Linked DNA regions of Anolis sagrei. The protein of the gene in region 4 purifies or fractionates together with the protein of the main gene of each other region. This does not show direct contact. Links are inferred from orthologs where the notes say so. Each region holds a gene or a part of one and is shown on either strand. Other genes may lie near its edges.

The links.
Region 1: the proteins of IQGAP1 (region 4) and HECTD1 purify together in Homo sapiens (affinity purification with mass spectrometry; 3 studies listed by BioGRID, with this or other methods). This does not show direct contact. The link is inferred for Anolis sagrei from reciprocal best matches to the Homo sapiens genes IQGAP1 and HECTD1.
Region 2: the proteins of IQGAP1 (region 4) and DIAPH1 purify together in Homo sapiens (affinity purification with western blotting; 3 studies listed by BioGRID and IntAct, with this or other methods). This does not show direct contact. The link is inferred for Anolis sagrei from reciprocal best matches to the Homo sapiens genes IQGAP1 and DIAPH1.
Region 3: the proteins of IQGAP1 (region 4) and DVL2 purify together in Homo sapiens (affinity purification with western blotting; 3 studies listed by BioGRID, with this or other methods). This does not show direct contact. The link is inferred for Anolis sagrei from reciprocal best matches to the Homo sapiens genes IQGAP1 and DVL2.

Annotation. Positions count from the first base shown.
Region 1 is NC_090021.1:298,826,811-298,834,775, reverse strand, and holds the start of HECTD1 (E3 ubiquitin-protein ligase HECTD1), read left to right. Parts: upstream 1-4,960; 5' UTR 4,961-5,633; intron 5,634-7,965. UniProt on the Homo sapiens protein: E3 ubiquitin-protein ligase which accepts ubiquitin from an E2 ubiquitin-conjugating enzyme in the form of a thioester and then directly transfers the ubiquitin to targeted substrates.
Region 2 is NC_090024.1:135,161,408-135,169,196, reverse strand, and holds the start of DIAPH1 (protein diaphanous homolog 1), read right to left. Parts: upstream 3,005-7,789; 5' UTR 2,795-3,004; coding exon 2,624-2,794; intron 1-2,623. UniProt on the Homo sapiens protein: Actin nucleation and elongation factor required for the assembly of F-actin structures, such as actin cables and stress fibers. Binds to the barbed end of the actin filament and slows down actin polymerization and depolymerization.
Region 3 is NC_090026.1:4,388,398-4,395,812, forward strand, and holds the start of DVL2 (segment polarity protein dishevelled homolog DVL-2), read right to left. Parts: upstream 3,004-7,415; 5' UTR 2,829-3,003; coding exon 2,548-2,828; intron 1-2,547.
Region 4 is NC_090029.1:22,411,975-22,419,323, forward strand, and holds the start of IQGAP1 (ras GTPase-activating-like protein IQGAP1), read right to left. Parts: upstream 3,019-7,349; 5' UTR 2,891-3,018; coding exon 2,842-2,890; intron 2,751-2,841; coding exon 2,651-2,750; intron 1-2,650. Other genes in the region: TUBGCP4 (gamma-tubulin complex component 4), read left to right, coding at 3,107-3,178, 3,274-3,471, 5,197-5,295, 5,576-5,629, 5,722-5,778, 6,126-6,205, 7,064-7,274. UniProt on the Homo sapiens protein: Plays a crucial role in regulating the dynamics and assembly of the actin cytoskeleton.

The DNA.
Region 1 (7,965 bases), on a different chromosome or scaffold from region 4:
CCAAACAATATCACTGGACAGGGGCAAACAGATCCCAACACTGTCCCTCCTTTAATAAGGAATTCACACCACTTTGGCCCTTATAGCGTTTGAGGGGATGTCTCTTTAGTAAAACCTTCGCTGCCACCATAAACTAAAGAATCAGGAACCCTCTAGCTATTTAGAATGTTAAAAAAAAACTGTTTATTCCACCAAGTACTGTATATTACCAAGGGCTTCTTTGAGGGAAAACAGGAGAGGTTGGTTCAAAAAGGAAAGTGACTCAAACCACAAATGCCACTTGACTCAGGCTTAAATTTTAAAAATAACAAGAAAGGTTTATTGAGTAGAAGTTACAGAATAAAAGTTAATGCAGGTTCATAAGCTTGTCTGTTACAATTAAAGTGTTCTTGTTCTTAAAAGGCGTAACGGTTGCTTGAGAGAATGGTTCTATTCTTTGTTACAATTTTTAAACAAAACCCAGCTATTTCTTTTCTAAAAATAGCTGTAACCAGTCTGCCACAGCCTGCTTTGCTGTGCAAACTTCAGGCAAGCTGCCTATTTCCTAACAGAGACTCCTAAAACTCTAATCCTACTCTAACATCACCCAGAACTGAACTGACTTGTCAAAATAGGCTTCTCTCTTTCCCTCCATCTGTCTAACTCCACCCCCCTTTTCCAAACCAATCCTGGCTGTTGCTGGGCTGGCTCAGGCCTAGGCCACTCCCCCTCTCTGAACTGGAGTCTTCCCTAAACCAAGATGGCTCCTGCAGCTCTCTGCCAGGCCTACTAAGCTGAAACTACCTAGCCTGTCTCTTCCTAGGCCCTGCCACCCCCGGCTGGCAAGGTAAGGGATCTTGACATTAGTTTTGAGTGATCTAACTCAAAATCCGCTGGACGAATTGCCACCAAATTTCGCAGCAAGACACCTACTAACTCAAGGAGTAACCATCACTAAAAAGAATTGATTTTGTCATTTGGGAGTTGTAGTTGCTGGGATTTATAGTTCACCTACAATCAAAGAGCATTCTGAACCCCACCAATAGAATTGGGCCAAACTTCCCACACAGAACCCCCATGAGGAACAGAAAATGCTATGTTCTGGTGGTCTTTGGTGACCCTTCTGACACCCCCTCGCAACCCCCCCCCCGAGGGTCCTGACCCCCAGGTTGAGAAATTCTGCCTTAAGGCCATCCTGTCCAACTCCCTTCACCAGGGTACGAAAACATAATCAAAGCCCTCCTGACAAAGAGCCACCAGCCATAGAGCCACCAGCCATAGATGATCCACATACACACACATATATGTATATAATAGATATAGTATAAATTTGAAAGGGACCCCTAAAGAAGGACAATTATATTGTCATTCTCTGCATTGACTTATAGGGAGGCAGGTAAGAAATTAATATTTTATTAGTAACTAGCTTAGGTACCTGGCGATGCTCAGGTCAGGTCTTTTGTAATGCTACTTATAATAAACAGTCATTGCTTGCTTTTATTTTTTATGGATACTCCAATTAAAAATGCGTATCTATGTAACTATATCGTTTGGGTAAGAGTATGCAAATGATGTGCCTAATTTTAGTATAATTTTGTAACAATTCAGTGTATTTTCTATACTAGTTGACTTAAATAATTCCTGCTGCTAGGAATCCACTTGATACAAATTTCTTCGTTTTTCTAAAAACTTGCATCTGTGATCCAAGCTTATTGAAAAAGCAGAATCATGCCGAACTAAAAGCAGAAACTTGATTTACTGCCCAGCTGAGCAGGTGGCAATTGATGACTATGAAAGACTTTATATCAGGAAAAGAAACATTACCTATTAAGGCTGAGCAAAGCTATATGTTGAATTATGGCCCTTAATATCTTAGCATACAAATATTTAATGCAACATACTTATGTTGATGCATTAAGTAAACCAGATATGACTGGTTAAGAACAAGCAAGCTCCCAAATAGCCAAGTACAACCATGAAAGTTATCATTTCGTAAGGTACAGGGACAAAGTGAAGTATTAAATGTTGCTCTATAAAAAGAACTGTGGAGATCTTTGCTTTCAGTATGAATTTAACGTGACTTCAGATTTTTACACTGGACAACACAGCATCACTTCATACGGCGGTTTTGGCTTAATGAAACTGAGATATCAGTTACATGCACCACAAAATGATATGTCTACTTTATACATTCCTAATTAGGTTACAATCATCTCCAAGCTGAGTATAGTGGTGGACCAATACAAGACCAATCCATCCAGTTCCTAACTGTAAGATACAGTACATATAAAATACATTTTAAACACCAGCTGCTAGTCAGTGTGAATTAAATTCATGCGGTATGAGAATTATGGGGATTTGGATGCATCTAGCCTGAGCAGAGCAAAAAGGATCAGGATTATACAGCTGGTCCTCCATATACTTAGCTTAACCTCTGCACTACTAAAGAGCTCCTGAAAAAGGGTTGGCAATAATACACTGGCCGTGCATTACATTGGAAATTAAGCATGTGATGCTGACATTTCTTGATCCCTTCACCATGCATTCAGTTTAATTTGACCCCACTTGTGTCACATACGTCATTTAAATACTGTAATAAAAATTGGCTCATTCAACTCAAAATATTGCCCTCACCTTCTCTTTGTGTTTCTTTCTTGAATTTGATTTATATTTCCCCTTTCTCCCAAGAATGAAACTTAGATTATGTACAAATAAACCAAACACAAGTGAGGCCTAAAATTAATAGAACTAATTGTATTGATTAATAAAATTAATTAATAAAAGATTTATAATACAATTGAAAAGTCATTAAGCTAAAAGTCCCATCTGAAACAAGTAAGAGGCCTGCCTAAATTAAAAAAGTCTTTGCCTGCCAGTGAGAAGTCACTATGATGAGACTCCAGCTTTCTTAAGTGGGTAGTTCCAGAGATATGGAAGGGACAATGAAAACGAGTTATATTTTATTCATTGCAGGGTGACAGATGTGAGGAGATAATTTGAATACCCAAATAATTCCTTTTAAAACTTTATTTAAATTTGCTTTTTGTCAAAAGTGATAAAAATGAAGTCCACAAACAGAAGTTATATTAAAGAAAGCAAGATAAAGCCAGGCACCATCACGGTAAGGATGTGGGGGAAATGGGAGGGGATGGGTTAAGATTATACTCTTCTCCCCCCCCCCCCCCCTTGCCCATGGGTTGAAGTCCTTAGGCTGCATTTGGGGAAAGAAACAGGTCATAAATAAAATCAGGCTGAGGGGCATGTACTTAGGACCAGCCTAGTTAATTGTGTAAATGCAATTAACCTTCCTAATGTACTGGATTTATTTATGTATATTCCAACTTTTTCTGATAGAGAACTCAAGGAGGCTTGCCATTCAGAATAAAAAAAGGATATAGCTAAAATTGGTCATAGAATCAAAGAAGAATTAGTTAACTATCATATTAAAACAACACTGAATTTAAAAGATTGAATGTATTTAAAACCTAGCAAATGAAAGAAACATATAGCACTCCCTATCAAATCATCATTTTCCACAACCAGAAAATAGCCCAAAGTCTGTCAAAAGAAAAGGTCTTTTCCTACTGGAAGAAAGAAAGCAAAGGGGAGAGGCAAACTACCTGCCTTTAATGGAAAACCTTTATTATTGCCAATACAAACCTCTCTTGATAAGCAAGTATCAACTTTAGAGAGTTTTTTCTTATGAGATGGAGAGAAAATTACATTTTACCTCTCGCCCTTTCATGATCTAGTGATTTACATATCAAAAAGAAGCACTCAGTTTCTATATAGGGGTAGCCTATTGACTATGCAATTAAAATCCAACGTCCAGAAACCAGTGATGCCTTTATTGGGCCATCAAATTGCAAAACATGTACCATACAAGCTTTCAAAGATTCACTGCCTTTTTTTATCAAGCAGATATTAAAATCTTACGGGAAAAGAAAAAAAAATGACAACATTTGAGTCACAGACATGTATTTTGTCTCAAATGTTACTTCCATTGTCAGTCAAGATGGTCTTGAAGGACATCGATGCAGGCACAGGACACTCTCCTTATTTCCCATCTGAGTAACAGGACAATGGGCAGTAAAACACTGGCAATAAAATGTAAATCCCTTGAGCAGCATTAAAGTAATTTCCATTGAGCTGCAGGCAAACTCTGACCTGATGAAGGATAACTTCCCCCTCAGACAACAAACACTGAATTTCTCATGGATTTTCTGTGCTGTTTTGTCCGTCAAAACTCAGTCCAAATTAAAGGGTTTTACCTTTGCTGGAGGAAAAAACCTCAAATCCCATACCAATAGCTCCCTCTTCTTGAAATTTTGCCTGTTGTGGCAACATTCAAATCCAGGACATATATTCAAGGACTGCTTGTTGGCCATGCAACAAAATACAACAAAACCAAGGTCTTGTCATGGAAAGTCAAAATCAAAATATTCAACTCCCACAGGGTATATATCTCCCAAAATTGTAACAAGAAAACTATCAGGACACAAAGGAGCTTTACGATGTTTTCTATGCATATGTGATTGTGTATGCTGCAATCTTGCTTTTTAGATGTGCTTAAATGCTACTCAAAAGTTACAGCTTTTTTTCAAGAACAATAATACACTTTCTCAAGGTGAACAGCAGATTCCTAATGAAGTTAAATCAGTCTCAGTGAATAAAACCACGAAGGTATGAGCATATATAGGCAAACATACATGTGTACACACTGAGCATGCAGTAATTGTGGTTAGGATTACTAAAGCAAAACAGCAGCAAGTGCGTTAGTCATCCTAGAATAGGTTTGGTCTCACAAAGGAGGACAAATATCTCAGTTGAACAACAACACCATTGTATGACATCCTTCTGTAAATCCTGATTGGCTGGAATGAACAGCTGAAGGCTTCCTCATTACTTCAGCTCTGTGTCATACAACACAAGCAAGATATTTAAGCAGGGAATTCACTTCCTGTCTGCCGGATTTGTACATTTGAATTGACTGCATCTACAGAATGCTCTCTTTGCTCAGTTTACATGTTTTGAAAGAGGAATTAAAATAGATCCTGTTTGCTGTGTCTAAGAGTAGAAGTAGAACCTACTTTTAAAGGAACGGGACTAATCAAAAGACGTACTATGGACATAAATCCTGGAACCTAAGTCACTAAATTTATCAAGTTCAACTTAAAACAATTTGTAATACTTTTAAGAAAGATTTAGATGTTAAAAATTGTTTTCTCCTACAGTGCAATGTAAAACCGGCAAGACAGAAAACCTTGAGGCACAAATCACGCTGACGTGACTAATAACAAAAATGTAAAGCATGTAATAAGTAATCTTTAAAACACTCCTTGTCGCAGCACATTACACAAGCCAGTGAGTGGTAAACACTGCCTTTTACAGCTGACACACAGCCGCACTTGTGACCAGGATTCAAGACATGATGGGAAAGTCCAACACTGATCCTAAGTTTAGATTTCCAAGGACTATATAAAGACAACATTGAGATAATGTTTATTGCCAGAATATTTTTTCTAATTTCCAACATTTCAAGCTGGACTATTATCTTGCCAGATGAAAGTATTTTTCAAGATGATGTCGGGAAAAAAGGACAAGCTGAATGTGACATTTTCCTGCTTAACCCTCTCAGTGGATAAATCAAAGACGTAAGTATTTAATTTTGACTGTCCCTTGTGGTATAAATGGACAATAATCTGAAAAAGGGAATAACTGTAGCAAAAAAGCTGTAAGAAATTAAAACATTCATATTTGTATCATCACATTTTTAATATTTGTACAGAGAATAGTTGGATGGGCATGAAACAGAGTTACAACAAAGAAGCTTGCCAAGTATCAAACCCTAGGATAATACTTGTGTTCAGTTGACATATTGCAAATCAAATGGATGAGATTTCAGGTGTCTGAACATTCGTATTACGGTATATTCCGCTTTGAGTATCATTAGAAGTTTTATATGCTTACAAGTGCTGGGATCTTCTCAATGTTAGAGTCAAGTTAATTAAATATTTATATGAAATCTGAAACCATCTCAATGTGAAAAAAGAAAGTGTTTTAAGTATGGCATCCTGACTAATTCAGAACAATTACAGGCCGTCCCCAAGTTACAAACAAGATAACTTCTTAAGTTGAATCTGTATGTAAGTAGGGAAGGGTTAACACCTCTGTGGCATTTGTTTTGCTGTCTGCGTCCCTGTAGAAATAAAGGTTGCTCACCTGTAACCGTATTTCTTCGAGTGTCCATCCGTGAAATTCACACTTATGGGTTATCCTTCGCGCATGCGCAGCAATCCGGAACTTCTAGAAATTTTAAATGATTTTTAAATGATTATTTAAGTACAACACAAGCCCCGCCCATCCCCCGCCCCCCCGGTATATAGGCCCTGCCGCGCGCCTGAGAGGTAGTTCCCAAGCGCCAAATAGCGGCGTAACACAAATAGGCATGACAGAGGGGAGGACGGGCGGGTCGTGTGAATTTCACGGATGGACACTCGAAGAAATACGGTTACAGGTGAGCAACCTTTATTTATTCTTCGTGTCCTCCGTGAAATGCACACTTATGGGTGAATAGCAAGCTACTGACCTGGAGGTGGGTCATGCCACGCAGGAAAACAGTACAGCTCTGCCGAAGGCTGCATCCTTCTTGGCTAGTACATCCAGTTTGTAATGGGATGCAAACGTGGACGGTGTGGACCACGTAGCAGCTCTACAGATTTGATCCAGTGGAACTCCACGCAAAAAGGCTTGAGAGGTGGAGACCGATCTGGTTGAATGGGCCACGAGTTGAGATGGTGGCTGTTTCCCTGCCAATTGGTAGGCTAGGCGGATCGTAGAGACGATCCATGAGGCCAACCCCTGAGAAGATACAGGGTGCCCCATCATGTCTTTCCTGTATTTTAAAAACAGTCTGGGAGATTTTCTGTGTGGGGATGTTCTATGGAGATAGAATGAAAGGGCCCTTTTAACATCTAGTGAGTGGAGGGCCACCTCGAGGGGAGAGGATGGGTTTGGGAAGAAGGCTGGTAGTATGATGTCTTGAGACATGTGGAAGTGGGAGACTACCTTTGGTAGAAAAGTGACATTGGTTCGCAGTACAACCTTGTCATCATGAAATCTTATATATGGTGGGTCTGATCGAAGGGCCGCAAGTTCACTGGTCCTTCTGGCCGAGGTGATGGCCACTAGGAATGCAACTTTCCAGGAGAGGTGAGAAATATCATTAGAGGCCATAGGCTCAAAGGGAGGTTTTGATAGTTGAGATAGTACTAGCTCCAGGCTCCATTGTGGTGGGGGAAGGGAGACAGGAGGATGAACATTTTTATACCCCTTTAGAAACAATTGAACCAAATTGTCTTGAAAAAGGGACGGCAAGCCACGTTTTTTCCTAAAGGAAGAGATAGCTGCTAAGTAACATTTAACAGAGGAGAGGGAGAAGCCTTTCTTGGAGAGGTGGACCAGAAAATCCAGCACCACCTGAGTGGGTGCAGTGAGGGGATTGTGACCCACTGATTTTGTGAACGTTGAGAATATTGACCACTTGTAGGTATATGACCTTGTAGTGGATGGTTTATGAGCAGCAAGGAGTATACGCGATACTTCGTCTGAGAAGTTTAATGTGGTCTGATCCTCCACGCCGTCAGGCGGAGGGAGTGGAGGTCTGGGTGGAGAACGAGCCCGTTCTCCACTGTGAGGAGGTCTGGAATGGGGGTAAGATGGAAATAGTCCCCGTTGGAGATTTGGAGAAGGGTGGCGAACCAGTGTTGGCGTGGCCACCAAGGGGTGATCAGGACGCAGTTGGAGTTGTCCTGGATTATCTTGGCTATGACAGGTGACAGGAGGGGGAGGGGGGGAAAAAGGTAGATGAGGTCTGATGTCCAGCGGAAAAGAAAGGCGTCTCCTAGACAGCCTGGGGATACGTGAGGGCGGAGCCTTGCGCAGTATATTGGGCAGTGAGTGTTCGCTGGGGATGCGAACAGGTCT
Region 2 (7,789 bases), on a different chromosome or scaffold from region 4:
GATGGCCCATGAGGTCTCTTCCAACTCTTTGATTCTATGATGGTCACTTGTTGGCCTGATTGTTGCTTTGTGTGTGTATACATTTGTGTATATGTGTATATATGTATGTTTTTCAGTGATTTTATGAGTGATGGTCACACATTGGCCTGATACGTGTCTTGTGTCCAAATTTGGTGTCAATTCGCCCAGCGGTTTTTGAGTTATGTTAATCCCACAAACGAACATTACATTTTTATTTATATAGATTTTGATTAATGTTTTTAATGTTTATGTATATGAATTCTTGTTCTGGCATTGAATGTTTGCCTTATATACGCTGTGCTCCGTCCTGAGTCCCCTTCGGGGTGAGAAGGGCAGAATATAAATGTTTCAAATAAAATAAATAAATTTCATGGCACCAACACTGAGCAAAGCGGACCCCATTTGGAAGAAGCAGTGGTATACTGGAGTGAGGAGGGCTGTGATGGATCATGAGTCAAGCCCTGAGAGCTCCAACTAAAGCTAAATTACAAAACATCCCCATGAACCACTAGTCAATTGAAGAAAGGTATTGACAAGCTGGAATGTGTCAAGAGGAGGGTGACTAAAATGATCAAGGATCTGGAGAACAAGCCCTATGAGGAGCGGCTTAAGGAGCTGGGCATGTTTAGCCTGAAGAAGAGAAGGCTGAGAGGAGATATGATAGCCATGTATAAATATGTGAGAGGAAGCCACAGGGAGGAGGGAGCAAGCTTGTTTTCTTCTTCCCTGGAGACTAGGACGCGGAGGAATGACTTCAAACTACAAGAAAGAAGATTCCATCTGAACATCAGGAAGCACTTCCTGACTGGGCAATCTGACAACTAGATAAGGACAAGCAGACGATTAGGACTGACAGGATTGACAATGTGGAAATGGAATTTGGACTATGAGATAGCGAACGCTGACCATCAATGAGGAGTAATTGGGTTTGTATTGGTTTTATTGTTGTAATGCAGGAATGGTTGTTTAACTGTTAATTGATGCTATTTGTTTTATTACTGTTATGTGATGCTGGCATTGAATTGTGCCTTTGTAAGCCGCCCTGAGTCCCCTTCGGGGTGAGAAGGGCGGGGTAGAAGAAACCGAAATAAATAATAAATAAATGTGAGCGCCGTTCAGCAGTGGAACTCTCTGCCCCGGAGTGTGGTGGAGGCTCCTTCTTTGGAGGCTTTTAAACAGAGGCTGGATGGCCATCTGTCAGGGGTGCTTTGAATGCAATATTCTTGCTTCTTGGCAGGGGGTTGGACTGGATGGCCCATGAGGTCTCTTCCAACTCTATGATTCTATATACTGTGCTCAGCCCTGGATCCCCTTTGGGGTGAGAAGGGCGGAATATAAATGTTTTAAATAAATAAATAAATAAATTTTCATGGCACCAACACTGAGCAAAGTGGACCCCTCTTTGGAAGAAGCAGTGGTACACAGCAGTGAGCAGGGGGCTGTGATGGCTCATGAGTCAAGCCCTGAGAGCTCCAACTTTTGAGCTAAATTACAAAACATCCCCATGAAGCACTAGTAGTGAACTCTGTGACTGGGGGCCACCTCTGTTCCAAACCATGGCAGAAGGCAACAGAACACATAGTCAATTGAAGAAAGGTATTGACAAGCTGTGTCAAGAGGAGGGTGACTAAAATGATCAAGGTTCTGGAGAACAAGCCCTATGAGGAGCGGCTTAAAAAGCTGGGCATGTCTGGCCTGAAGAAGAGAAGGCTGAGAGGAGATATGGTAGCCATGTATAATATGTGAGGGGAAGTCCTAGGGAGCTGCCCTGGAGACTAAGACACCGAACAATGGCTTCAAACTATAAGAAAGGAGATTCCATCTGAACATGAGGAAGAACTTCCTGACTGTAAGAGCCGTTCAGCAGTGGAACTCTCTGAGTGTGGTGGAGGCTCCTTCTTTGGAGGCTTTTAAACAGAGGCTGGATGGTCATCTGTCAGGGGTGCTTTGAATGCAATATTCTTGCTTCTTGGCAGGGGGTTGGACTGGATGGCCCATGAGGTCCCTTCCAACTCTATGATTCTACATGCTGTGGTCAGTCCTGGGTCCCTTTCGGGGTGAGAAGGGCGGAATATAAATGTTTTAAATAAATAAATAAATAAATACATTTTCATGGCACCAACACTGAGCAAAGCGGACCCTCTTTGGAAGAAGCAGTGGTACACAGCAGTGAGCAGGGCTGTGATGGCTCATGAGTCAAGCCCTGAGAGCTCCAACTTTTGAGCTAAATTACAAAACATCCCCATGAAGCACTAGTAGTGAACTCTGTGACTTGGGGCCACCTCTGTTCCAAACCATACAGAAGGCAACAGAACACACAGGGCTTGCCTAAAAGAGGAAGGAAGAAGGCTCCTTAAAGAGAGAACGAGAAACTATGGGGCGAGGGTTGACACTTGAAGAGCAAGTGCCCCTCTGGGCCACGAGGCCACTCCTGAGCCAGGTGAGGGAATGAGAAGAGAGAGGTGTGAGGACAGGGAAGGGAGGAGACCCGGAAGGAGGGGGAAAGGGCCACTGAGGGAAGAAACTTCCTGCCTGCCTGCCTCCTCCTTCTCCTCCGCCGGACAGGTGCGCCTCCCCCTCCCCTCCTTTCGTCAACACTCACAAACTTCCGGGACTTCCCCCCTCCTCCTCCTCCTCCGCTGGGGTCTCCCGCCGAAACCGCCGCCACTGTGGGCTCCTCAGGGCTCTTGCCCTTCTTCTTCTCGCGGCCGGCTCCTCGCGCTGACGGACCTCCGCCGCGGCCACTGCCACTACTGCCTCCGCCGCCCTCCATGGCGCCCCTCGAAGCCGGGCCTGAGCGCGCGCGCGCACCGCCGGGGAAGGGAGGGGGAGCCTTCACTCCTCGAGGCGGCCCATCCGCCTCGCGCCGCCGAAAGCCTTCAATGAGACCCCCTCAGAGCTGCCTCGCGCCGGCCCAGCAGCGCGCGCCCGCCCGCTCGCCTGCCTGAACTGCCGGAATCCACGCCCGCCTCGAGAGGCCCCGCCCACCGCCGTGTCGTCACCGCCGCGCGGCCACAAAGCCGCCTCCGCGAAGCAAAAAAAAAAAAAAGTGGGAGATTCGCCTTGAATCGACAACGGTGGAACAGATAGATACACTGTGGATATAGAGCTACGACTTGTAGAGGAGCCTTCCTCAAGTCCGCTGGGGAAGCTTCCAAGTCCCTTGCGTGTTTTCTCTAGGAGGCCAAAGTGTTGAATCATAGAATCAAAGAGTTGGAAGAGACCTCATGAGCCATCCAGTCCAACCCCCTGCCAAGAAGCAGGAATATTGCATTCAAATCACCCTTGACAGATGGCCATCCAGCCTCTGTTTAAAAGCTTCCAAAGAAGGAGCCTCCACCACACTCCGGGGCAGAGAGTTCCACTGCTGAACGGCTCTCACAATCAGGCTAAACATGCCCAGCTCATTAAGCCGCTCCTCATAGGGCTTGTTCTCCAGACCCTTGATCATTTTAGTCGCCCTCCTCTGGACACATTCCAGCTTGTCAATATCTCTCTTGAATTGTGGTGCCCAGAATTGGACACAATTTCAACAGAAAGGAAGAGGCCATGAAAATGAACAAAATCTGGCTACCAGTATTAAAAAACTCTAAAATTACAACAGCAAAACAGCAGAGAGGAAACAACCAGGCACATCTTAACACCTCTCAACAGAGGATTTTCCCAGGCTCAGCCAGGCCTTCAAATGCTAATGAAGGTGGTCAGTTGAAACATTCACACCTAGCTCCAGCAGGGAAGAGCTCCTTGCCACACCCCAGCCATTCCACAGATATATAAACCCATTGTCCTAATTCCAACAGACCTCACTACCTCTGAGGATGCTTGCCATAGATGCAGGCAAAACGTCAGGAGAAATGCCTCTAGAACATGGCCCTATAGCCCGAAAAAACCCACAAGAACCTAGTGATTCCAGCCATGAAAGCCTTTGACAATACATTAGTCAGGAAGTTCTTCCTCATGTTCAGGTGGAATCTCCTTTCTTGTAGTTTGAAGCCATTGTTCCGCGTCCTAGTCTCCAGGGAAGCGGAAAACAAGCTTGCTCCCTCCTCCCTGTGGCTTCCTCTCACATATTTATGCATGGCTATCATATCTCCTCTCAGCCTTCTCTTCTTCAGGCTAAACATGCCCAGCTCATTAAGCCGCTCCTCATAGGGCTTGTTCTCCAGACCCTTGATCATTTTAGTCGCCCTCCTCTGGACACATTCCAGCTTGTCAATATCTCTCTTGAATTGTGGTGCCCAGAATTGGACACAATATTCCAGGTGTGGTCTAACCAAAGCAGAATAGAGGGGTAGCATTACTTCCCTAGATCTAGACACTATGCTCCTATTGATGCAGGCCAAAATCCCATTGAAGCACACGGACAGACAGGCGGGGAATCCAGAGGCGTCCTCGCAACAGGGAATCCCCCGCTTTTTCTCAACCCAGGGCCCTTCCACACAGCTGCATAAAATCACATGTTGTTTGCTTTGTATGCTTGTCCACTGTGCCCTGCCTCATGTACAGAGGAGGAATTGTTGGAGTCTACAGACAATGCCGTAGCTGTTGCCCATTTTTGGTCCAAAGATATTTAGCCGCCTGCGCGCCTTCTATTTTTATCAGTTTTATACACATTTATGCAATGCTTTTGATGCGAAATAAATGTGCTTTGAACTTGGTTCTGTAGCAGTGTGGACTCTTGAGCCCTTCCACACAGCCATACAACTCAGAATATTTATTTATTTACAGCATTTATATACTGCTTTTCTCACCCCTGGGGGGACGCAATATCAAGGCAGAAATTTTCACAATATCTACTTTGAACTGGTTTATCTGAGTCCACACTGCCATAGATTGTGAATTATCCGACTTGAGATTTTGGTTATGTGTCTGTGTGGAAGGGCCCTTAGATAAGCAGATATAGTGGATTATCTGCTTTGAAATTCTTGAGCAATTTCAAGACAGGCCCTGTATCCCAGGATCTGATCCCAGGTTTTCTGTTTAATCCCAGATTATCTGGCAGTGCAGACTCATATAATCCAGTTTAAAGCAGGAAACCTGGGATCAGATCCTGGGATAGAGGGCCTGTCTGGAAAGAGCCCAAGAATATCAAGGCTGATAATTAACAGTATCTGCTTTGAACTCAATTATCTTAGATCTAGAAACAATATCATACAAAAGCTGACTGGCACAACCTGGGGATCACAACCAGATACAGTGAAGACATCTGCCCTTGCGCTATGCTACTCTGCTGCTGAGTATGCATGCCCAGTGTGGAACACATCTCATCACACTAAAACAGTGGATGGGACTCTTAATGAGACATGCCGCATTATCATGGTGTAGGGTCTCTGCGCCCTACACCATTGGAGAAATTACACTGTTTAACCAGTATTGCACCACCTGACATCTGCCAGGAAGTAGCAACCAATAGTAAAAGGATCAAGGCAGTGACAACTCTGGCCCACTCCCTGTTTGGGTATCAGCCAGCACGCAAACGACTTAAATCAAAAAATAATTTTCTAAGATCTACAGAGACACTCGCTGGAACACCTCAGCAAGCGAGAGTCCAAAAGTGGCAGGCTCAAACCCAGAACCTCAATCAATGGCTGATACCAAATGAGAGACTCCCCCCTGGGCACACAGAAAACTGGGCGACTTGGAAGGTGCTGAACAGACTGCGCTCTGGCACTAAAAGATGCAGAGCCAACCTTAAGAAATGGGGCTACAAAGTGGAATCCTCGACATGTGAGTGTGGAGAAGAGCAAACCACTGACCACGTGCTGCAATGCAACCTGAGCCCTGCCACATGCACAATGGAGGACCTCCTTGCAGCAACACCAGATGCACTCCAAGTGGCCAGCTATTGGTCAAAGGACATTTAATAGAATACCAAGTCTGAAAACTTTGTGTTTTGTTTGTTTGTTTGTTTTTAATCCAATACAACTGTTTTGGTTCGCTCCTGACATGATAAATAAATCTTAAATCCACACTGCCATATAATCCAGTACATGTGGATTTTATACAGCTGTGTGGAAGGGGCTCAGTTGTTGGTATATGCTGGTCTTGTACTTTGTCACTAGTTCATCTTATGTGTAAAAAGATTTTAGAAATATTTTTCTGTTTGACTTTTTGAGGCTGGCGACTCGCTCACTGAGGGCCCTTCCAGATAGATGGTCTGGAGTGAGCTATGGCTCCTCTCATTCTTCTCCATCAGGCAATGCTGACTTAGGCTGATGGGAGTCATAGTCTAACACTTGCCAAATATTAAGTTGGAATGAGGTTTTGTTCTTTGGTTACAGAAGATAAAAATATTTCTAGTTTTTAGCTCAAAGTTTTCCAAATAGGCGGTATGTAAGTGTGCTGCGTGATTGTAATGAGAAACCACTCATATAAATCATATAATCTATATAAAAATGTAATGTTTGTTTGTGGGATTAACATAACTCAAAAACTATAATATGAATTGACACCAAATTTGGACACAAGACAAGTGGCCATCATTCATAAAACACTGAAAAACACAGCAGAAAGGACTTAAAAGGCAAAAAAATGCATTACAACACATGCACAAAACCACATATATACACAAACATATATACACACACATATACATATATATACACACAAAAAATACATATACATAGACTGGGCCACAGCAACGTGTGGCAGGGGATGGCTAGTTCTAAAGATATAAATGGAAGCTTCATGAGACATGTTGTATCCCCATGCATTTCCTTATTACTATTTATATATGTGTCCATGTCTCTTCTAAGAGGTTGGTTTAACATCTGGTTTGCTACCAAAACTTAATTACTGAGCCAAGAAAAGATGCAAAGTGTGTCACCAACAGGAAAAGCTTGGACAGCTCTGTTCTAGAGGGTAGCCTCCCTAAATATGAGAAAGGCCTGCTTTTACAATACTATGTTTCCTCTTTGCCCTACCAGGTGAAAGTGACAGCAACCTCCATGAAACATTGAAATAGTTATGATGGCGAGAAGCCGCTGATCCATCCAAACATTGGCAGAACCAGAATTCATTCTCAGTTCTCCTTACATAAAGAAAAGATGTGATTGTGCCTTTAAAGTTGTTGTACAAAAGACTGGCAACAGCCTAGATGTTTCTAATACTGGACTATTTTGCAAGATACCATACATTCAACCTCATGCATATGTCCGCCCCCGCTCAATAGAGTAAACTGTGGCAACAAGCTAGAACTGCGTTTCCCAAAATGGGCAACATTTTCCCCTGGGAAGCTCAGGAATAACACTATGTAACACAATTTTTGTTCCTGGGTTATAAATGTCATTTTCTAATTGGTTCTGTCATAAAAACATGGGAAAAGTGCATTAAACTGCAAAAGCTTTGTTTTTGCGAGACACCCTGCAGCACATTTTGCTACAGTTTTTCAATTAATATCTCAACCAATTCAACATATGGTAGTTTGTGGCAGCCACAAATCAAAGTTTCTGGAATATAACAACTACTTTCAAAGTAAGTACCACATAGTTAAACAGGAAATAACACTTTTAAACCATGAACATTTTGGGTTGTAGTTTTTTTTTTTTCCGGGCTATATGGCCATATTCTAGAGGCATTCTCTCTTGACGTTTTACCTGCATCTATGGCAAGCATCCTCAGAGGTTGTGCGGATGCTTGCCATAGATGCAGGCATAACGTCAGGAGAGAATGCCTCTAGAACTTGGCCATATAGCCCGAAAAAACCTACAACTCAATGATTCCGGCCATGAAAGCCTTTGACAATACATGAACAGGTTTTTTTTTTCTT
Region 3 (7,415 bases), on a different chromosome or scaffold from region 4:
GAGGGCTTGGGTAAGATATTCCAGCAGATGAGAATGGGGTCGGACTGGGTGGCTTTTGAGGTCTCCTTCTAGGATTCTATACTTGTAATAACAATAATAATCAGAGGCCGGAGGGCCATCTGTTGGGAGGGCTTGGGGTCGGACTGGGTGGCCTTTGGGGTCCCCTTCTAGGATTCCATACTTCTAATAACAATAATAATTAGAGACTGGAGGGCCATCTGTTGGAAGGGCTTGGGGTCGGACTGGGTGGCCTTTGGGGTCCCCTTCTAGGATTCTATACTTCTAATAACAATAATAATCAGAGACTGGAGGGCCATCTGTTGAGCGGGCTTGGGTAGGATATTCCAGTAGATGAGAATGGGGTCAGACTGGATGGCCTTTGGGGTCCCCTTCTAGGATTCCATACTTCTAATAACAATAATAATCGGAGACTGGAGGGCCATCTGTTGGGAGGGCTTGGGCAGGATCTCACTGTAAAGGATGGAGCTGATGGGAAGGGCAGGGCCTCAGGCGGAGCAGAAGAGGGCCCTCCCCATACGCCAGTGTTTCTCAACCTGGGGGTCGGGACCCCTGAGGGGGTCGCGAGAGGGTGTCAGAGGGGTCGCCAAAGACCATAAGAAAACACAGTATTTTATGACAGTCATGGGGATTCCATGTGGGAAGTTTGAGCCAATTCTATCGTTGGTGGAGTTCAGAATGTTCTTCGATTGTAATGAACTATAAATCCCAGCAACTACAACTCCCAAATGTCAAGATCTATTTTCCCCAGACTCCACCAGTGTTCACATTTGGGCATATTGAGTATTCGTGCCAAGTTTGGTCCATTGCATGAGTCCACAGTGCTCTCTGGATATAGGTGAACTACAACTCCCAAACTCAAGGTCAATGCCCATCAAACCCTTCCAGTGTTTTCCATTGGTCATGGGAGCCAAGTTTGTTTCAAATCCATCGAGTTCAGAATGCTCTTTGATTATAAGTGAACTATAAATCCCAGCAACTACAACTCCCAAATGACAAAATCAATCCTCCCCCAACCCCACTAGCATTTACATGTGGGTGCATTGGGTATTTGTGCCCAGTTTGGTCCAGTGACTGAAAATGCATCCCGCATATCTGATATTTACATTATGATTTGTAACAGTAGTAAAATGACTGTTATGAAGTAGCAACGAAAACAATATAATGGTTGGGGGTCACTACAACATGAGGGACTGGATTAAGGGGTCACGGCATTAGGAAGGTTGAGAACCACTGCCTTTCCTACGGACATTAGACTAGCACCATCTCTAATGGTATTCCGCAAAAAGGTGAAGACCTGGCTGTTTGTGCAGGCGTTTGAGTAATTTAGTGCAATCTGGTAATGGAACATAGGAATGGAACAATGGACGACGAACCTGGACTACGCTTGGGTGATGAGAAGATTGGGTACGGTTGTTTTTTTTGTAATAATTGTGCATTGTAATTGTTTATTGGTAATTTATGGATAATGTGTTAAGTCAATTGTTATATGTTGTATGGAACCACTGCTGTTTCTACTGTTTTTACTGTTTGTGAACCGCTGTGAGTCGCCTTCGGGCTTGAGATACAGCGGTATATAAGCAAAGTAAATAAATAAATAATAAATAATATATAGACAATAACACGCAATGGGGTTGGACTGGGTGGCCTTTGGGGCCCCCTTCTAGGATTCTATGCTTCTAATAACCTATAAAACCCTATACGGTTCCGGCCCAGTGTACTTGTCCGAACGGATCTCCCTCTACATCCCACCTCGAAGTTTAAGATCTTCTGGGGAGGCCCTGCTCTCGACCCCGCCAGTCTCACAAGTGAGGCTGGCGGGGACTAGGAGCAGGGCCTTCTCGGTGGCGGCCCCCCGCCTGTGGAACTCACTCCCCGGGGAGATTAGATCGGCGACTTCCCTCCTAGCATTTAGGAAAAAACTAAAGACCTGGATGTGGGACCAAGCTTTTGGTCACTCTGACAACTAACTCAAGGACCTGGTGATAGACAAGGACAAACGGAATAGAACAGATGTATGGACTGATATATGGACTCTGACATGAGATTGGTTTAGGTTTTATGATTTTACTATGTATTGATGTTTTAATCTAACTGCTGAATTGTTATATTTTTTGGATTACTTGTTGTGTGATTGGACATCTAATTGTGCCCTCCCTGTAAGCCGCCCTGAGTCCCCCTCGGGGTGAGAAGGGCGGGGTATAAGTGAATGAAATAAATAAATAAATAAATAATAACAGTAATAATCAGAGGCTGGAGGGCTTGGGTAAGATATTCAAGTAGATGAGAATGGGGTCAGACTGGGTGGCCTTTGGGGCCCCCTTCTAGGATTCTATACTTCTAATAACAATAATAATTGGAGAGTGGAAGGCCATCTGTTGGGAGGGCTTGGGTAGGATCTCCCTGTAAAGAATGGAGTTGAAGGGCAGGGCAGGGCCTCAGAAGAGGGCCCTCCCCAAACGCCCAAGGCCCTTCCTTGGGGGCACATGGGGAGGGATGTCTGTCTTCTCCCCCTTCGGGAGTCCTCACCCGAAGTCCTGGTCCATGCTCTTGAAGAAGTACTTGGCGCCAGGCCTGGCCAGGGCGGCCTTGACGTGGCCTAGAGTGAGGCGCTCGGCCGGGACCGGGATCTTCACCAGGTAAGGCGTCTCCTCTTCGTCCAGGTGGTAGATCACCTTCGTCTCGCCCGCGGGCTGCATGGAGGAAGAGGAGGAGGAGGAAGAAGAGGCAGAAGCGGCGTTGAGAAGAGCAGGAGGAGGAGGAGGATGAGGCTGAGGCGGCGCGCTAGGCCCGGAGCCCGCCATCGCCATGGCAACCAGCGGAAGGGCGGAAGCACAGGCGCCTCCTTCTTCTCCTTCCTTTAGGCCGCGCCCACGTTACCGAAGAGAGGGGGGGCAGGTAAAGTTAATAGCGGGGGGGGGTTAATAAAATAAAAAAAGGGAGGGGGAAAGGGGAAGAACGAAGGGACGAAGCCGCCCTCTCTCTCTCTCTCTCCTCTCTTTCGTCGCGCAGCTTACGTCACCACGCACGCGTTGCGCGCGCAGCTCCGCCCCTCGCTTGGGGAAAACAAGGCGTGAGGGGGCGTCACGTGACGAGCGTCTCCTCCTCCTCCTCCTCCTGCTCTTCTTCTTCTTCTTCTTGGGTCAGCCTGGCTTCCTAGGCCTGTCAACATAGAATCATAGAATCAAAGAGTTGGAAGAGACCTCATGGGTCATCATCCAGTCCAACCCCATTCTGCCAAGAAGCAGGAATATTGCATTCAAATCACTCCTGACAGATGGCCATCCAGCCTCTGCTTAAAAGCTTCCAAAGAAGGAGCCCCCACCACACTCCAGGACAGAGAGTTCCACTGCTGAACGGCTCTTTCTCAAGTTCTTTCTCATGTTCAGATGGAATCTCCTCTCTTGTAGCTTGAAGCCATTGTTCCACTGCATCCTAGTCTCCAAGGAAGCAGAAAACAAGCTTGCTCCCTCCTCCTCCCTGTGGCTTCCTCTCACATATTTATACATGGCCCTCATCATGTCTCCTCTCAACCTTCCCTTCAACAACTGCACTGCATCCTGTCAGATCCCCAAAATCTGGAGAAAAGCAAGAGTCATTGCCATCTTGAAGCCAGGCAAAGACCGTAGTGACCCAAAAAGCTACAGACCAATCTCCCTGTTGTGCCACCTCTACAAAGTTCTGGAGAGACTTCTTTTGCATAGAATTGTGGAAAATCTAGACCCATGTCTGACCCCCGAGCAAGCTGGCTTCAGAAAAGGCAAAAGCTGCACATCGCAAGTGCTGAACCTGACTCAGCACATAGAAGATGGCTTTGAAAGGCAGCAGATCACAGGAGCTGTCTTCGTAGACCTGTCAGCAGCCTATGAGACTGTGAACCACCACCTCCTCCTGAGAAAAATGTATAGTATCACAAAGGACAACCACCTCACCCGCCTCATAGGAAACCTGCTACAAAACAGGAGCTTTTTTGTTGAGCTCCAGGGCCAGAGAAGCAAATGGCGGAAACAGAAGAACGGCCTGCCTCAGGGGAGCGTGCTTGCTCCATCCATGTTCAACATCTACACAAATGACCAGCCACTGCCAGAAGGGACAGAGAGATTCATCTATGCTGATGATCGTGCCATTACTGCTCAAGCAGGGAGCTTTGAGATGGTTGAACAGAAGCTCTCCGAAGCTCTAGGTGCCCTTACTGCCTATTACAGGGAAAACCAGCTGATCCCTAACCCATCTAAAACACAGACATGTGCCTTTCATCTCAAGAACAGAGAAGCATCCCGAGCTCTGAAGATCACCTAGTAAGGAATCCCACTGGAGCATTGCAGCACACCCAAAGACCTGGGAGTCACTCTGGACCGTGCTCTTACCTACAAGAAGCACTGCCTGAATATCAAGCAAAAAGTGGGTGCTAGAAATAATATCATACGAAAGCTGACTGGCACAACCTGGGGATCACAACCAGACACAGTGAAGACATCTGCCCTTGCGCTATGCTACTCTGCTGCTGAGTATGCATGCCCAGTGTGGAACACATCTCACCACACTAAAACAGTGGATGTGGCTCTGAATGAGACATGCCGCATTATCACGGGGTGTCTGCGCCCTACACCACTGGAGAAATTACACTGCTTAGCCGGTATTGCACCACCTGACATCCGCCGGGAAGTGGCAGCCAATAGTGAAAGGACCAAGGCAGAGACATCTCCAGCTCATCCCCTGTTTGGGTATCAGCCAGCACGTCAATGACTTAAATCAAGACATAGTTTTCTTAGATCTACAGAGACACTCGCTGGAACACCTCAGCAAGCGAGAGTCCAAAAGTGGCAGGCTCAAACCCAGAACCATCAATCAATGGCTGATACCAGATGAGAGACTCCCCCCTGGGCACACAGAAGACTGGGCAACTTGGAAGGCATTGAACAGATTGCGCTCGGCACCACGAGATGCAGAGCCAATCTTAAAAAATGGGGCCACAAAGTGGAATCCACGACATGCGAGTGCGGAGAAGAGCAAACCACTGACCACCTGCTGCAATGCAACCTGAGCCCCGCCACATGCACAAGGGAGGACCTCCTTGCGGCAACACCAGAGGCACTCCAAGGGGCCAGATACTGGTCAAAAGACATCTAATCAACTGCCAAGTTTGCAAAATTTGTGGGTTTTTTTATCTGTTTGCTTGTTTTGTTCTGTTAGAAATGTAATACAATGGTATGGTTGCTGATGACACATAAATAAGGGTTCGCGGCATTAGGAAGGTTGAGAACCACTGGGTTAAGCCTTGGTCATTTTGGTGTGTATAATTTAATCAAGGCTTTATGCCCTATTTTCATATGTTTATAGCAGAAGGTAACAAATTTATTACTGAAAATCATGCCACAAAAGTATTTGACTTTTTCCATCTGAGAAACACCTGGGCTCCTGATGGGGAAAATGGAAGGAAAAAGGAAGAGAGGCCGACCAAGGGCAAGGTGGGTGGATGGGATCCTTGAAGTGACTGGATTGACCGTGAAGGAGCTGGGGTGGTGACAGCCAACAAGGAGCTTTTGCGTGGACTGGTCCATGAAGTCACAAAGAGTCAGAAACGACTGAACAAATGAACAAGACCCTTCCTATAGCAAGCGAGAGTCCAAAAGTGGCAGGCTAAGACCCCACCTATAGCAAGTGAGAGTCCAAAAGTGGCAGGCTAAGCCACTAATACCTCAGCAGACGAGAGTCGAAAAGTGGCAGGCTAAGACCCTATAGCAAGCGAGAATCCAAAAGTGGCAGGCTGAGCCACTAACATCTCAGCAAGCGAGAGTCCAAAAGTGGCAGGCTAAGACACTTCCTATAGCAAGCGAGAGTCCAAAAGTGGCAGGCTAAGACTCTTCCTATAGCAAGCGAGAGTCCAAAAGTGGCAGGCTAAGACTCTTCCTATAGCAAGCGCGAGTCCAAAAGTGGCAGGCTAAGACCCTTCCTATAGCAAGCGAGAGTCCAAAAGTGGCAGGCTAAGACCCTTCCTATAGCAAGCGAGAGTCCAAAAGTGGCAGGCTAAGACCCTTCCTATAGCAAGCGAGAGTCCAAAAGTGGCAGGCTAAGACCCTTCCTATAGCAAGCGAGAGTCCAAAAGTGGCAGGTTAAGACCCTTCCTATAGCAAGCGAGAGTCCAAAAGTGGCAGGCTAAGACCCTTCCTATAGCAAGCGAGAGTCCAAAAGTTGCAGGTTAAGACCCTTCCTATAGCAAGCGAGAGTCCAAAAGTGACAGGCTAAGACCCTTCCTATAGCAAGCGAGAGTCCAAAAGTGGCAGGCTAAGACCCCACCTATAGCAAGTGAGAATCCAAAAGTGGCAGGCTAAGTCACTAATACCTCAGCAAGCGAGAGTCCAAAAGTGACAGGCTAAGACCCTTCCTATAGCAAGCGAGAGTCCAAAAGTGACAGGCTAAGACCCTTCCTATAGCAAGCGAGAGTCCAAAAGTGGCAGGTTAAGACCCTTCCTATAGCAAGCGAGAGTCCAAAAGTGGCAGGCTAAGACCCTTCCTATAGCAAGCGAGAGTCCAAAAGTTGCAGGTTAAGACCCTTCCTATAGCAAGCGAGAGTCCAAAAGTGACAGGCTAAGACCCTTCCTATAGCAAGCGAGAGTCCAAAAGTGGCAGGTTAAGACCCTTCCTATAGCAAGCGAGAGTCCAAAAGTGGCAGGCTAAGACCCTTCCTATAGCAAGCGAGAGTCCAAAAGTGGCAGGTTAAGACCCTTCCTATAGCAAGCGAGAGTCCAAAAGTGACAGGCTAAGACCCTTCCTATAGCAAGCGAGAGTCCAAAAGTGGCAGGCTAAGACCCCACCTATAGCAAGTGAGAATCCAAAAGTGGCAGGCTAAGTCACTAATACCTCAGCAAGCGAGAGTCCAAAAGTGACAGGCTAAGACCCTACCTATAGCAAGTGAGAGTCCAAAAGTGGCAGGCTAATCCATTAATACCTCAGCAAGCGAGAGTCCAAAAGTGGCAGGCTAAGACCCTTCCTATAGCAAGCGAGAGTCCAAAAGTGGCAGGCTAAGACCCTTCCTATAGCAAGCGAGAGTCCAAAAGTGGCAGGCTAAGACACTTATTTTATTTATTTCTGGTACTTTTACCCCGCCCTTCTCAACCCCTTCCTATAGACACTTCCTATAGAAACACCAGAGGCACTCCAAGGGGCCAGCTACTGGTCAAAGGAAATATAATAGAATGCCAAATTTGCAAACTTTGTGTGTGTGTGTGGCTTTTAATGCATTAGACCTGTATTCTCAATTTGAGTCCTGACACCATAAATAAAGTAAATAACCCCGCCAGGATGTGACGTCACGGAAGACACACATTTCCCCCCTCCCTCCTCCTTCTCTTCCCCTCCTTTGTCCTTCTGCTGCTTGAGGGTCACGTGAGGAGGCG
Region 4 (7,349 bases):
TGCAGTAATCTTTGCACCTAGAAATGCCAAGTCTGTCACGGCCTCCACGTTTTCTCCCTCTATTTCCCAGTTGTCAATCAGTCTGGTTGCCATAATCTTGGTTTTTTTTATGTTTAACTGCAACCCAGCTTTTGCACTTTCTTCTTTCACCTTGATCAGAAGGCTCCCTAGCTCCTCCTCACTTTCGGCCATCAAAGTGGTATCATCTGCATATCTAAGGTTGTTAATGTTCCTTCCAGTAACTTTTACCCCAGCCTTGCATTTATCAAGCCCTGCACACCGCATGATGTGTTCTGCATACAAGTTGAATAGGTTGGGTGAGAGGATACAACCCTGCCGTACGCCTTTCCCAATCTTGAACCAGTGTGCTGTTCCATGGTCAGTTCTGACTGTTGCTACTTGGTCCTTGTACAGATTCCTCAGGAGAGAGACAAGGTGATTTGGTATTCCCATACCACCAAGAACTTGCCACAATTTATTATGATCCACAAAGTCTAAGGCTTTAGAATCTATATAAATAAAAATGTAATGTTTGTTTGTGAGATTAACAGAACTCAAAAACCACTGGGTGAATTAACAACAAATTTGGACACAAGACACATAACAACCCAATGTATGTCCTTCACTCTTAAAAAAATGATTTTGTCGTTTGGGAGTTGTAGTTGCTGGGATTTATAGTTCACCTACAATCAAAGACCATTCTGAACTCCACCAACGATGGAATTGAACCAAACTTGGCACACAGTTCTCCTATGACCAACAGAAACTACTAGAAGGGTTTGGTGGGCAGTGTCCTTTGGTTTTGGAGTTGTAGTTCACCTATATCCAGAGATCACTGTGGACTCAAACAATGATGGATCTGGACCAAACTCTACATGAATACTCAATATGCCCAAATGTGAACACTGGTGGAGTTTGGGAAAAATAGAATCTTGACATTTGGGAGTTGTAGTTGCTGGGAGTTATAGTTCACTTACAATCACAGAGCATTCTGAACCCCACCAACAATAGAATTGGGCAAACCTCCCACACAGAACCCCTATGTAGGCCACAGCAACGCGTGGCAGGGGACGGCTAGTAGTCGATAAAACAGAAATAGATGTTTTTCTGAAAGTCCTTGCCTTTCTACATTATCTACACGGAGAGAGAGTTGCCAGATAGAATCATAGAATCAAAGAGTTGGAAGAGACCTCATGGGCCATCCAGTCCAACCCCCTGCCAAGAAGCAGGAATATTGCATTCAAATCACCCCTGACAGATGGCCATTCAGCCTCTGTTTAAAAGCTTCCAAAGGAGGAGCCTCCACCACACTCCGGGGCAGAGAGTTCCACTGCTGAACGACTCTCACAGTCAGGAAGTTCTTCCTCATGTTCAGATGAGAGGAATCTGAGTTCAGAGCTTGTTCACGGCACGAATCAAACTTATAAGTCAAGGTATCACTGTCTTTAGAAATACACCCTCAGAGTGTTAGAAAGACTGGGAAGTAGCTCTGGGGTTATGGAAAGGAACAGAGAAAGAGAGGAGGATAAGGAGGAGGAAGAAGAAGGAAGGAGTGGAAGAGGAGTAGAAAGAGAGAAGAAAGGAGGAGGCCCCTCAGAGTCCCCCTCTCACTCTTGAGGACCTCAGACCCTAACTTGTGACCGGGGTTCAGCCCAAAGAGGTGGATTTTGCAACAGCTCTCAGTCTACTTACTCCAGCCCTCTTAAATATTGTACAAATCATCTTCTAGGCCAGGCATGAGCCAACTTTGGCTCTCCCTCATAGAATCATAGTGTTGGAAGAGACCTAATGGGCTATCCAGTTGTAGTTTGAAGCCATTGTTCCGCGTCCTAGTCTCCAGGGAAGCAGAAAGCAAGCTTGCTCCCTCCTCCCTGTGGCTTCCTCTCAAATATTTATACATGGCTATCATATCCCCTCTCAACCTTCTCTTCTTCAGGCTCAACATGCCCAGCTCCTTAAGCCGCTCCTCATAGGGCTTGTTCTCCAGACCCTTGATCATTTTAGTGGCTCTCCTCTGGACACATTCCAGCTTGTCAATATCAAGCTGAGTATAGAAAAGGCAGAGGAACGAGAAACTAGGAGCCATAGAAGAAAATAAAGATGGGTAGAGCAAGGCACTTCCTGGTCCCTCCACCTTGAGAGCAAGAAAGCCCCCTCTACGCGAGGCCCCGCCCCTTTCTCTTCTACTTAGGTCAACAGTAAGCTGGGCTGACAGTCCGCAGCTTATGCCTACCCAGGGCTTCGAACTGGCAGCCTTTTTCTGCTGGTAGATCTTATCATTGCTGGGCTGTGCTAAAGCCCCGGCTTTCCTCTCTTCTGCAGAACAAGCCCCGCCCCTTTCTCACAAGCCCCGCCCCTTTCTCTTCTACTTAGGTCAACAGTAAGCTGGGCTGACAGTTGGCAGCTTATGCCTACCCAGGGCTTCAAACTGGCAGCCTTTTTCTGCTGGTAGATCTTATCATTGCTGGGCTGTGCTAAAGCCCCGGCTTTCCTCTCTTCCGCAGAACAAGCCCCGCCCCTTTCTCACAAGCCCCGCCCCTTTCTCTTCTACTTAGGTCAACAGTAAGGTGGGCTGACAGTCGGCAGCTTACGCCTACCCAGACCCCTTTCTCACAGGCCCCGCCCTCTTCGCCCCCTTATATTTCCTCACCGCTTGGCCTCCTCCAAGTGGCAGAGGTACTCGTAGGCCACGTTCTGCAGGCGCCTCTCGTCCATCTCCTCCGCCGTCATCCGCTCGTTGTCCAGCACCGCTACAGAAGGGGGAAAATAGAGGGAGGGGCGTCAGGAAGGGTCTCCTTCCCCTTCCCCTCGGAAAGAAAATGAGGACGGAAGGCCACTCACAGCCATAGTGGGGCCGAGCCGCGCCCTCAAGCTCCTCCGCGGCCGACATCTTTCTCTCTCTCTCTCTCTCTCCAAGCGGAGAAGGCGCGCTCTTAGCCTTCCTTCCTGCCTTGCCTGACTGACTGACTGACTGACAAGGCGCGGCCGGAAGCAGCCCTTCCCGGGCCTTGGGCGCATGCGCGGGAAACGTTCCCGCCCAATCGGCTAGCTCCGCCCCCTCCGCGCCTCCGCCAGTCAGTCACGTGCCCCTCTGCTTCCTTCCGGGATGATCCACGAGCTGCTCCTGGCGCTGCGGGGCTACGCGGGGGGGCTCTTCGTGGCCAGCGGGGGGCTGCAGGTGTGGCCCCGCCCCCTCCTGGTTGCCTTGGCCCCGCCCCCAAGTGTCTCTCTCTGTGTCTCTCCTGAAACGCGCTTCTCCCTCTTCTCCGACAGGTGGCTCCCGAAGCGGTGCCGGGGCTGATTCACCCGAGCGAGGCCGCGCTGCTAGGCCGCCTCCTCCGCCTCGGCTCCTTCTACCTCCGCTTCAGCGAGTTCATCGAGCCCGCCAATCAGAGCAGCAATGCCGGCGAGGCCCCGCCCCCTCCCGCGCAGGCCCCGCCCCCGGCGCTCCCGCCCGCCCCGCCCCCACAGGTGAGCAAAGCTGCATTGGGACAGCATGGCATGCAAGACACCTGCCAATACATGTAGTAGTATTATTATTATTATGAGCATTGTTACAGCATATATATATATATATATATATATAGACATATGTTATCGTTTTTATATATAATATTTATTTATTGGATATGTTATTATTTTGTATATAAAAATATACAAAATATATAATTATTGTTGGCTATATTATTGTTTTATATAATAATATAAAATATAAAATAATAATAATATATTATTATGAGCTTGTTGATCGAAAGGTCGCAGGTTCGATTCCAGGGAGCGGCGTGAGCTTCCGCTGTCAGCCCTAGTTTCTGCCAACCTAGCAGTTTGAAAACATGCAAATGTGAGTAGATAAATAGGTACCGCTCCGGCAGGAAAGTAACGGCGCTCCATGCAGTCATGCCGGCCACATGACCTTGGAGGTGTCTACAGACAACGCTGGCTCTTCGGCTTAGAAATGGAGATGAGCACCACACCCCAGAGTCAGACATGACTGGACTTAATGTCAGGGGACTACCTTTACCTTTATATAGTATATCAATGAGGGATTATTCCATAGGACATTTAGTGCAATACACTTGCAAACAGATGTATTATTATTATTATTATTATTATTATTATTATTATATATACACACACATATATATATACATACAAATATATGTTATTGTTTTTATATATTATTCTTATTGGAAATGTTATTTTATATATTATTATCATTTCCAGGAGGGAATTATTCAATTGGACATTGAATGCAATTCACTTGCAAATAAATTTATAATTTTTATCACTATTTGTGTGTGTGTGTGTGTATTATCATTTTTATATATAATTATTGTAGGATATGTTATTTTATATGGTATTACGTCAATGAAGGATTATTTAATAGGAGTATTAGTGCAATGCATTTGCAAATGTATTATTATTATGAGATATATATATATATATACACACACACACACACACACACATGTTATTAGTTTGTATATAATTATTATTGGAAATGTTATTATGTTCTATATTATCATCATTTCCAGGAGGGGATTATTCAATTGGACATTGAATGCAATACACTTGCAAATAAATGTATTATTTTTATCACTATTTGTGTGTGTGTGTGTTTGAGTGTGTGATCATTTCTATATGCAATTATTATTGGAAGTGTCATTATTTTATATATTATCATTTCCAGGAGGGGAATTGGACATTTAATGTATTATTAAATAAATGTATTATTTTTATCACTATTAATTGTGTGTGTGTGTTACCATTTTTATATATAATTTTTGTTGGATATGTTTATATAGTATTATGTCAATGAGGGATTATTCAATAGGACATTTAGTGTAATACACTTGCAAATAAATGTATTATTATTATTATTATTATTATTATCATCTTCATCATTTTTATGGTAGTATTTATGTTATTTATTTATGTATTGGTCACATTTGTACCCCACCCTTCTCAATCAGGAGGAGGACTCAGGGCACCCTTGCAACAGGCAGCAATTCAGTGCCACACACTGTGAATTGTGCTCGGTAGCAGACTGGCAGCCAGTGGAGCGGACACAACAGAGGGGTTGTGTGCTCCCTGTATGCCACTTCTCATCTCAATTGAATTCCTTCAAACATAGATTGCAGCCAGATCTGTCCATAAATCAGTCATTATTTGACCCTTCTTTCCTTCTTACTGCAGGAGTTGCCTCCGCCGGGGATCTACCTACGCGCCTTCTGTGCAGGGCTTGACGCCGTGCTGCAGCCCTACCGCCAGGCTTTGCTGGACCTGGAGCTAGAGGTGAGGGGGTCACAGCGGGATCTGGGGACAAGGCTCCACCCAAACTTTAGGAAGAGCTTCCTAACTGTGAGAGCTGTTCAGCAGGGGAACTCTCTGCCTTGGAGTGTGGTGGACACTTTTAAACAGAGGCTGAATGGCCATCTATTGGGGGTGCTTTGAGTGTGATTTTCCTGCTTCTCAGCAGAGGGTTGGACTTGATGGCCTACGAGGTCTCTTCCAACTCTAGGATTCTATGATTCAAGGGGGGGCTCCTCTGACCCATCTCTCTCTCTCTCTGCAGTTCCTGGCCGACCCCCACCTGACTATCGCCCACCTCAACTACTCCCTGGACCAGGTATGATTGTTGCCCCCCTTTGGCCAGGAAGAGATGCTGCAGGAAAGGCCCAGGTACACCTTTGATGCTTCCTTCCTCATCCTCTCTTGCAGTTCCAGCTCCTCTTCCCCTCCTTGATGGTTGTGGTAGAACAGATCAAGACCCAGAAGGTAGGTGCAAGGAGGAGGGGGTTGGTGGTCAGCGGGGGTCACCAAGGGAGGGAAGGAGGGAAGAGTAGACCTCTGTTTACAGAAGCCGACTGAAGCTAGAAGAAAATGTTCCCCCTCCCAAGGACTCTGCTCCTTCCTACACCACAACAGTGGTGTCCAGCAAGGCAGGACTGCCATTTCTTCTCATCTCAGTAGGCATTACGTATATAATTGTGATGCATGTCTAGAAGCATCTGCATTATACTATTATTTTGTGAAATATGGGGAAACCATTGAATCCCTCTCAATGCTGAAACACAACATTAAGTTGATTTTGTGGGACAGCTTCTCTCTCTCTCTCTTTGCAGATCCATGGCTGCCAGATCCTGGAGGTGGTCCACAGGCACAGCCGTGGAGGGCTACCCCCTGTCCGCCAGGCCCTGGAGAGGTACTGATCCTTCCTTTGCTTGCTGTAGGTGCTCTCCCCCCCCCTCCCCAATCTCACTTCATCCCCTGTTGTTATTTGACCTCCTTGTTGGGAGAGAGGGTTTATTAACAAAAGACCACTCCCCATAACAGTATACTGGAGTAACTTATTGGCAGTAGTGTGAACCAGCACCATTAGCCAAAATGATAAAAAGAACAAAAACACACAGACCAACGTTATAAGTTCCTTTGAAGGCTTTTCTTTCTAGCAAAATAATATGGTTTCACTTTTACAAAAACAAAGTTTTCATAACACAAATAAAGTCCTTTATACTTCCTTCTTTGCTTCCACGCTGGGCTTCATTCTCATGCAGATAAACAGCTTTGCTCTCACAGAGCCTCCTCTCAAACTGAAGCTTCACACAGTAGCTTTACACATTGTGGTTTCTCTCACCAAAGCTTCTCACACCAGGCCTTCTAACACTAAGGCCTCCTGAGGCCTCTCACACACACAGGCCTTCTCACATTGGCTCTCTCTCACACTGAGGTGTACTTAGACTGAAGCCTCTCAAACTGAGGCCTTCCTCCCACTGAGGCCTGCTCATAACGAGGTATTCTAAGCTGCCTATATAGAACTGCAGCTTTTGCTGAGTCATTGCATCGATTTAACCCTTTCAGTGCTTGACTCACATTTTTGTAATTAAGAATACCTAGTTAATTTATTTATATTTCTGACACTTCTCCCTGTCTCCTTACTGAAGTGGCCCACTGATAAGAGGAGGATTAGGAGGGGGTACCTGCTTCTCAATGCCAAAGGTCACCACCGAAGCCCCTCCTCTTCACCTGTACCCCTCCCCCCCCCCCCCCCCCCCCGCTGCAGAATCCTGGCCACCTGCCACGCAGCCATGTACAAGCAGCTATCGGCCTGGATGCTGCACGGTCTCCTCCTGGACCAGTACGAGGAGTTCTTCATCCGTCAAGGCCCCTCCTCCTCTTCCTCTGGATCAGGGCCTTCGCAGCTGGATGAGGATGAGGATGACCTGGGCATTGGGGGCCTCACCGGGAAGCAGCTGCGGGAGCTGCAGGACATGGTGAGGAATGCCCTCCTGGCCGGGGTATTTTACTTATCATTCACAACAACAACAGAGCCAAGAAATATGGCATTA